Mus musculus: one gene and its partner. The protein of the gene in region 1 interacts with the protein of each later gene in a pairwise test. Links are inferred from orthologs where the notes say so. Each region holds a gene or a part of one and is shown in the gene's direction. Other genes may lie near its edges.

The links.
Region 2: the proteins of Sncaip (region 1) and Nub1 interact in a two-hybrid assay, tested with the Homo sapiens proteins (2 studies listed by BioGRID). The link is inferred for Mus musculus from reciprocal best matches to the Homo sapiens genes SNCAIP and NUB1.

The regions. Positions count from the first base shown.
Region 1 is NC_000084.6:52,766,634-52,770,542, forward strand, and holds the start of Sncaip (synphilin-1), read left to right. Parts: upstream 1-1,459; 5' UTR 1,460-1,504; exon of another isoform or gene 1,505-2,425; intron 2,426-3,909. UniProt on the Homo sapiens protein: Isoform 2 inhibits the ubiquitin ligase activity of SIAH1 and inhibits proteasomal degradation of target proteins. Isoform 2 inhibits autoubiquitination and proteasomal degradation of SIAH1, and thereby increases cellular levels of SIAH.
Region 2 is NC_000071.6:24,684,247-24,688,155, forward strand, and holds the start of Nub1 (NEDD8 ultimate buster 1), read left to right. Parts: upstream 1-1,568; 5' UTR 1,569-1,705; coding exon of another isoform or gene 1,706-1,776; intron 1,777-3,909. UniProt on the Homo sapiens protein: Specific down-regulator of the NEDD8 conjugation system. Recruits NEDD8, UBD, and their conjugates to the proteasome for degradation. Isoform 1 promotes the degradation of NEDD8 more efficiently than isoform 2.

The DNA.
Region 1 (3,909 bases):
GAAGCAACATGTGCTTTTCTCAGAGTTTACACCAGGAAAAAGAAGTTTTATTCTAACCAGATGTGAGAAAATTAAAACCAATATTCTAAAGTATTTTTAGTGGCATATGATGTCATCTGATTTCATATTTTCTACCAGGGGATAATACGTATTTTTAAAATCGTGAAGCCGCATTCCATGCATGTACTTAAGACATGATAAGTTACAATAAACAAGTGACAGAGCTGTATGATATATGCTTGGCTGTTTAGTCAAAAAGCTGGGGAAGAAATTTAGTCTTAGAGTAGGGAGGAGGATTAAAACTGTCTTCTGGTGACATTCAAGGCTGTCATTTCTAGGGGTGCCATTTACTTATGGTAGGTCTTCCAGGTAGAATTCCAGATGTGTGCAGGACAAGGACTGCTCTGATTGTCTTTACTACTAAAATCAAATTATGTATCTCATAAGAACGACTTACGGCTTCACTCTAATTACTCAGGGCAACCTAGCTTTTAAACCCCCGGGCCCTTCTTTCTTACTGGCAGTGTATTTTCTGTGACAGGCAGGCATACATCCCTCTGCCAGCACCCAGGTAGTATTGGATTTCCCTGTATCTCTCACAGCCATTCCCACCCTGGCTGAAAGGGGCAGGGGTGGGGGGTGGGCAAGATGACCCTAATTTGACCAGAACTCAGTCCTTCCTTCCTTCCTTCTGACAACCTCTAGCAAGCAGGTAACAAGAATGAAGCCCATGATGGCTTTCCTTTGACACACTCCAAATCTTGTCCCACTCCTGGGACAGAGATTTGTCCAAAGTCATTTAAAGCTGTCCAAGGGGGCAACAGAGAGCCAATGTTGCTATCAAAGCGTCTGTTCTCTCTGGATTTTGTTTCGGAAATAGGAAAGAGGCGGTCACCCACCGCTTGCAGGCATCACTGATGCCCCTACCATAAGGAATGCTAGGAGTAAAGTTACTATTATCACAGGGTCCTGGGTACACTGCTGAATTAACCAACTGTCATTTCAGACCCAAATCTCTAGCGCCACCCACCCAGGAGCACAAAACATTCTGGGTAAAAATCCCCCAGCCCTGCCCCTTTACATCCTTGGCTAAGTCTTTCAGGGTGGGCTAGACTTGGAAGAGGGGAAGGTTGGGGGTTGATGACGACGCGGTGCCAAGGCACAGCACTCTGGCCAAAACACTTCTCAGACACAACAGTTTTCCCAGGGCCGTGTTCCACCTTCCTTTTTCTCCGAGTATCGTTTCCCGGTTTTATGCTGGAACCTTGGAATGGTTTGGGGACCAATGAGGTGGCAGCGGTTGATTCATGGATCGCGGTGAGGGAAGATTTCATTTCCAAGGAGGAAAGAGCGCGCGGGGGGCGGGCGGGGGGGGGGTGCTGGAGAGGCAGCAAAGCCAGAGGGGAGGCGGGGGAGAAAGTGGGAAGAAGGGGCCAAAAGTGGGAGGGGAGGAGGGGAGAGAGCCTGCGGGGAAGAGCCAAGGCGGCGGAGGTGAACGCGCGAGGTAAGCAGAAGCAGCAGGTTCGCTGGCCGGGGACACCAGGGGAAGGCGGCTGCTGCTGAGGGGCGTGGGCTGGGCCGGGACGCAGGGGGACGGTCACTGTCGGTCCTGCCTGGTGGTTGCGTCCCTGAGCTCAGCGTCCCGCCGCCCCGGGTGTCCCCGCCCGCGCGCGCCCGTTGGGGGGCCCGGGGTGCGGCGCCGGCCGCCCGGCCGCATTGTGACGTAGCGGGGCCGCGGCAGCGCCTCCGCCGCCCGCCGGGTCTCCTGCGCCCGCCGCTCTCGCCGTCTGTCCGTCCATCCCTCCCGCCGTCCTCCCGCGCTCCGGTGAGTCCAGGTCCCAACCGCGGGCGCCGCAGGGAGGAGAGGGACGAGGGCAGCCCGTGCAACTTTGCACCGGGCGACACCCTGAGGGTTTTCGGGACCCCGGGGGCCCCCTTTGTGCCTCGGGTCCCTTCTGCTCGGGGCCGCGCGGTGCCGCTGCAGAGAGCTACAAGAGGAGAACGTTGTGGTAACCCAGGCAGCTTCACCCCGGGGGACCCAAGTCGCTCCCGCCTCGCAATCCCTGGCTCTGGTGCAGGGGATTGTTCTTTTCATTGGCCCTTGCGCTGGCGTTACGCTTGCTGCTACCTCGGATGGTCCCGGAGGCGTGGATGGGTTGTGCCAAGGCTCCTAGGAGCTGCCAGGGAGGGGCGAAGGCATGGTGATAGCTACACTAGTAACCAGAACAATAACAAACGTGAAGGGGATGCCGGGTGGTGTCGCTACCCGAGGAGAGCCCCTGGCCCATCATCCCCGAGACGCCTAGGCTGCCCCGTCCAGCCTCGGCTCCTCCTCCCGGCGCTGTCCGGCGTCCCGGGATTGTCCATGTCTTAGGGAAGGCTTCTTTCTGACCCTCTCAGTGGCGGTGACTTTCGTCTGCAGGTGGTAAGTAGGGATGAAGCCAACGTTGGCTATTGTCAAATGCCACGTTTTGTTTATTTCATTTTTTTTTTCTCGAAAAGAAAGGGGAGAATATTCTGAACCAGTTCTGGCAGCCATACAGTTTCCACAGGAAATACTAGCATTCTTTGAGGAACACGCTACTGCTTGCAGCAAAGAAAGTCTTCAGGAGACAAAAAGGCAACTGCATTGTTGCTCATTTCCAACTAGCCGCTAGGAGGGTGGAAACAGTGTTGTTTTTTCCTGCGGGAACATTGCTTTCCTTGGGAAAGTTAATTAAGGAAGCATTGCTGGCTGTGCCCTTTTTTTCACTTGCTGGAAGTGGGATGCCACTCCTCCTGGTTATTACTGACAAGTGTCCATCTAATAGCCCCTGGGAAGAAAGAGCCACCAACCACCGCAACAGTCTCCCCACACACCACGTGCTGTGGAGCTCGGCCAGGGCACAGTTTGCAAAATGAAATAAGGACTATCTTGGGAGATTTATGGGGATTACATTCGCGCAGACGTCAGTTCTCCAAGGTGTCAACTCTAAACACATTATGGTCAGGCATCATTTCGGCGCTGAATCTGCAAGCAGGCAAAAAAAAAAAAAATTCTCATTATGAAGCAGACATCTCAGTTGGGAATAAGTTCAAATCTGTATTTCATTTGTACACATTGAAAAATTCAAAAGTCAAGAGAGCAAGATTGTAGAAAGGCCCATATGCTAATGTGTGCACACCTGGGAGGCAGTGTCTATTGGCTGATTCTGATGTGACTTGATATTAAATTACTTCCTACATAGCAAAATGCAGGGAGATACCTTTAAACTGTCCTTACAACTAATAGAAGAATGTGTGACATTTGGGGGCTGATCACAGAAGTCTCTTTCTCAGGGAACATTAACCAAGTATTGCCCATAATGGAATAACTCGAGTTTCCAGGTCTAGATCAGAAAGTAAATGATGGCACTTCTCTTAAGAGTCATAGAACATCACTAATGTTAGTAATGCTGCTAAAAGGGAGGTTTATAAAGAGGTTTTATCAGTTTGAACATAACCTTTATCATCCCTCAGAGGTTCGTGAAGAGAGTTTACAAGACAGTACATCTGAAATGGTACTGCATTCGCTAATTCGATGTTTCTATTTGTCCGTGTCTGAAAGGAAGTGACTAAGGTCCGTGGATTTCTGTGTGCCATGTCACAGCTTTGCTGAGTCCAAGCAGCTGTTCAGTGCAGGTGTGCAGTGGAAACAGGGAATAGAAGCCAAAATCGTTGGGAGCACGGTTGTTTTGGAAGGACTTGGAGGGACTTCACTGTGCCTAGGAGGAGGGAAGCCCACAAAAACATCTAAAACATACAAATGCTCTTTGATATCATCAGAGAAAGCCCGGAGCCATGTTTCTTGCCAGATTTAGCTTGTTTCTTGTGAAAAGAAGAAATCTCCCAAAGTAGCAGGTGCATCATTAGAAGAAACACAAGGGACTT
Region 2 (3,909 bases), on another chromosome or scaffold:
TTATTTTTTATTTTTTTAAATTTATTTATTTATTTATTTTTGTTTTTCGAGACAGGGTTTCTCTGTTCCTGGAACCCACTTTGTAGATCAGGCTGGCCTCGAACTCAGAAATCGGCCTGCCTCTGCCTCTAGAGTGCTGGGATTAAAGGCGTGCGCCACCACGCCTGGCAGTTTTTTGTTTCTTTGTTTCTTTGTTTTTTGAGACAGGGTTTCTCTATATAGTCGTGATTGTGCTGGAACTAATCAATTTCCTTAGAGTGGAAACAGTTATCTACAGATACAGTTTTCTTGGGTTTACAGTCACTTTCTTTTGTTTGGTTCTGAAAGCTTTGTCAGTTTGGAGGGCATAACAAACAACTTGCAAATCTGATCCTTATCATAATAACAATTTGTTTAGTTCCTGATTCACAGTGAGGCCAGGCATTTTTGGACTGACTAAGCAGGCCTGCTCTGGGTTCTCCAGTACGTGTGTGGGAAGCGGGTGTTGAATGATGGATCTAGCTTCACTGGCAGGCTGGCAATTGGCAAACTCCTCGCTGGGGTTCCTGGTTGCTTAGGCTCCTGCAGGCTTGCTCAGGCCTCCTCTCACAGTCTGCAGCAAGATGGGGCTCAACACCAGAGCATTGTTTCTTTTCTCATAGTATTTAAAAAAAAAAAGGCCTTTTTTTTTTTTTTTTTTTTTGGTTTTTGGTTTTTGGTCTTTTTGAGACAGGGTTTCTCTGTTTAGCCCTGGCTTTCCGGAACTCACTCTGTAGACCAGGCTGGCCTCGAGCTCAGAAATCCCCCGCCTCTGCCTTCCAAGTGCTGGAATTAAAGGCGTGCGCCACCACTGCCCGGCGTCTTCATTTTTTTATGCCCGTTTGGATTGTTCCCTTACATAGACATAAGGGCACATGCATTTTTCACAGCGCTGAGCAAAGCAGATGTCTCTATCTACTGTACTCATGGTGGGAGTAGCCGCTGGAGGGAGGCATGGGTAGCGTACCTAACTTCACCATGAGCGGGGATCCTGGTGGGATTGTGGAGGGTAGTGTGAGAATCCTTTAGTCTAGGGGATCCCCTAGGCCTAGTAGAGGGAAGACGAGAAAAGGTTCAGGAAAACAGGTCTTGCTCTGTCAAGGCTTTTGGGGAATAAATAAAGGCAGACTCATTTTCCTCTGACTCTGAAAAACTCGGTCTGGGAGTGGTCCGAAGACCTCGTGATTGAAGACTAGCATTGCCTCACTTCCATTCCTCACCACGCCTCTTCCCCCTGCACAGCAGACCCCCTCCCACCGCTTTTGACCAGTTTTAGCCTTGCCTTTCCACCTAACAGCTCCACCTACAGTCGGCCCTTGCCTCCATCTTCCTCCTCGCCCGGTCCCACATCCGCTCCACCGCAAACTACCAGCCCCGCCCACAGATCGCCTGACCCTCAGCGCGGCCCTCGCCCCAACCACTTTGTCTCTCTTCCCCCTTACACGTCAGCCCCGCCCTAGCTACACTCTCCCTATTTCCATCTACTCTGTTGTCCCGCCCCATATCAGCCCCGCCCATTAAATACTAGCCCCGCCCACAGCCGCGTTTTCAGGGCTTCCTTCCGTTCGATGCTTCAGATCGCCCTTCAAGCCCCTTGGCCCCACCCTTCCATGCAGCTCCGGTCCTCGACCGGCCTTCCGGACAGCGCGAGGGGGCGGAGCCGGGGGCGGGGCCGGCCTCACCCGGAATGAAAACAAACGGCGGCCTTTGCCGCATCCGGGCACTCGGCAGGTCGCAGCTGGCTCGGCAGTGGCGCAGGTGAGACGGCTGCGGCAGCGACCGGGCCTTGGGCCTGGGCCTGGTAGCGCGGCCGGGGCGGCCGTGGGCTCGGTGGGCAGGAGCGGCCAGGCGGACGCGGCGAGGCGGGCTGGGGCGGAAGCGGGAGGGGGTCGCGGCGGGGCGGAGGGGAAGGGATGGACACCAGCCAGCAGCTTGAGTTTGGATGAGCTGACTGCCGGGGCTGACAGCGGAACGCGGGGTGTGAGAACGCAAGCTTTCTGGACCCACACTTGTCCTCGCCTCCTTCCCTTGCTTTTAAATAGGAGGCCCTAATGGCATGTCATTTCCCCGAGAGGGAACGTGTTGAATGTGCGTAAGGTTGTATGCAATCTCGATTGATCTACAAGTGAAAGTGGTATTTTCAACATTGATGCCTAAGGTTTCACTTTCGGTTCAGAGCGCTGATCTTGATGATTTACGTGTTTTCTGCGTTGGAACGCCCAGCAACACACATGAAACAGTTCTCCAATTAAAATTGAAAACTGGGCTGTTAGATTTTCTTCCTTTTGACCTAACACATGTCATTCTGGTACCTGTAACTGGATTTTCATAGGTTTGAATACAGTGGTTTAATTTAATTAATTAATTTTTTTGAGATGGTGACTCACTATGTAGCTCTGGTTGTCCTGGAATTCGCTAAAGGCGAGCAAAACTATAATCAAGCCGGTGGTTTAATTTTGTTCAACATTAAATCTTTATGTTAATCTGGGCATGGCATACCTTTAGCCCCAGCATTTAGGAGGCAGAGATGATCAGGTGATCTCTGTGAGTTCAAGTCCAGCCTGGTCTACATAGTAAGTTCCAGGACAGAGCTGAGTAGTGAGACTCTGTCATGGTTTTAAAAAAAACAAAACAAAAACAAAAAAACTTAGTCGGGCGTGGTGGCGCACGCCTTTAATCCCAGCACTTGGAAGGCAGAGGCGGGGGATTTCCGAGTTCGAGGCCAGCCTGGTCTACAAAGTGAGTTCCAGGACAGCCAGGGCTATACAGAGAAACCCTGTCTCAAAAAACCTAAATAAATAAATAAATAAATATTACGTGATGCAGACCTAGCAACAGTGTGGAGCACAGATGAAGGGTTGTGATAGCCTTGGCTTCTTTTATCAGACAGTGGACTGGGTACAGTCTGAAAGGCTGTTTTCAACCTTCTGAATAGCTGGGTACTAGTAAATTATCCCTGCCACCTCCTTAGGAGATGGCAGTAATCTTTTTCTCAGTTTCTAAACTGGGCGTGCTGGCACACGCCTTTAATCCCAGCACTCCGGAGGCAGAGGCAGATGGATTTCCGAGTTCAAGGCCAGCCTGGTCTACAGAATGAGTTCCAGGACAGCCAGGGCTACACAGAGAAACCCTGTCTCGAAAAATTAAAAAAAAAATTTTTTTTCTATAGATTTGAGTCCTGTGTCTGGAGGTTTAATAGACTTGTATTTGTAAGGCTCCTAAGTGCCTTGTGGTGAGCTTGTGAGTAAAAACACACAGCATGTTCATTCTCTCTCTCTCTCCCTCCCTCTGTCTCTCTCTTTCCCTCTCGCCCTGTCTGACATGCATACACACAATGTTTACTCCATGGGCTATCCTGATGACCTGTTTCTCGATCTCAGATCTGAGCACCCTTTTGAAAGCATGGTTATGGAATAATGCTTAAGTCACCACAGTTGGCTTGAAGATCAGGTGGATTCTGTTTAGAAGGCTGAAACTTAAGTTATTAATTCACATATTTTCCATTCTCTGGAATTCATGTTCACCAATGAGGAGTGAGCAGCTTCCTATTTGGTTTGATTTGGCAAGCCTTGAAACACTTGACTACCAGCTGCCCCAGGCTCTCAGTGGCCTCCCCCACCCTGTGGAAGCTATGTCACACCTCCTGTGTAAGAAAGGGGAAGTGCTGAGGACAAGAAGCACAGGATTGTGAGACAAGCTAGAGTCCATGTCGTAGGCAGTTGTCTCATGCCAGTTCTGGCCTGGGCTCATTTTGTGGTTTTATAAACCTGGGCCTGGGGTTTTCCAGCAGCAAAGTGATTTAGCCTCAACATCAATCTAGTGAGATGTGCTATTGTGCTCTCAGAAGTACCAGCGAAAACAAAACCAAGAAACAAGTTATAAAGACAAACA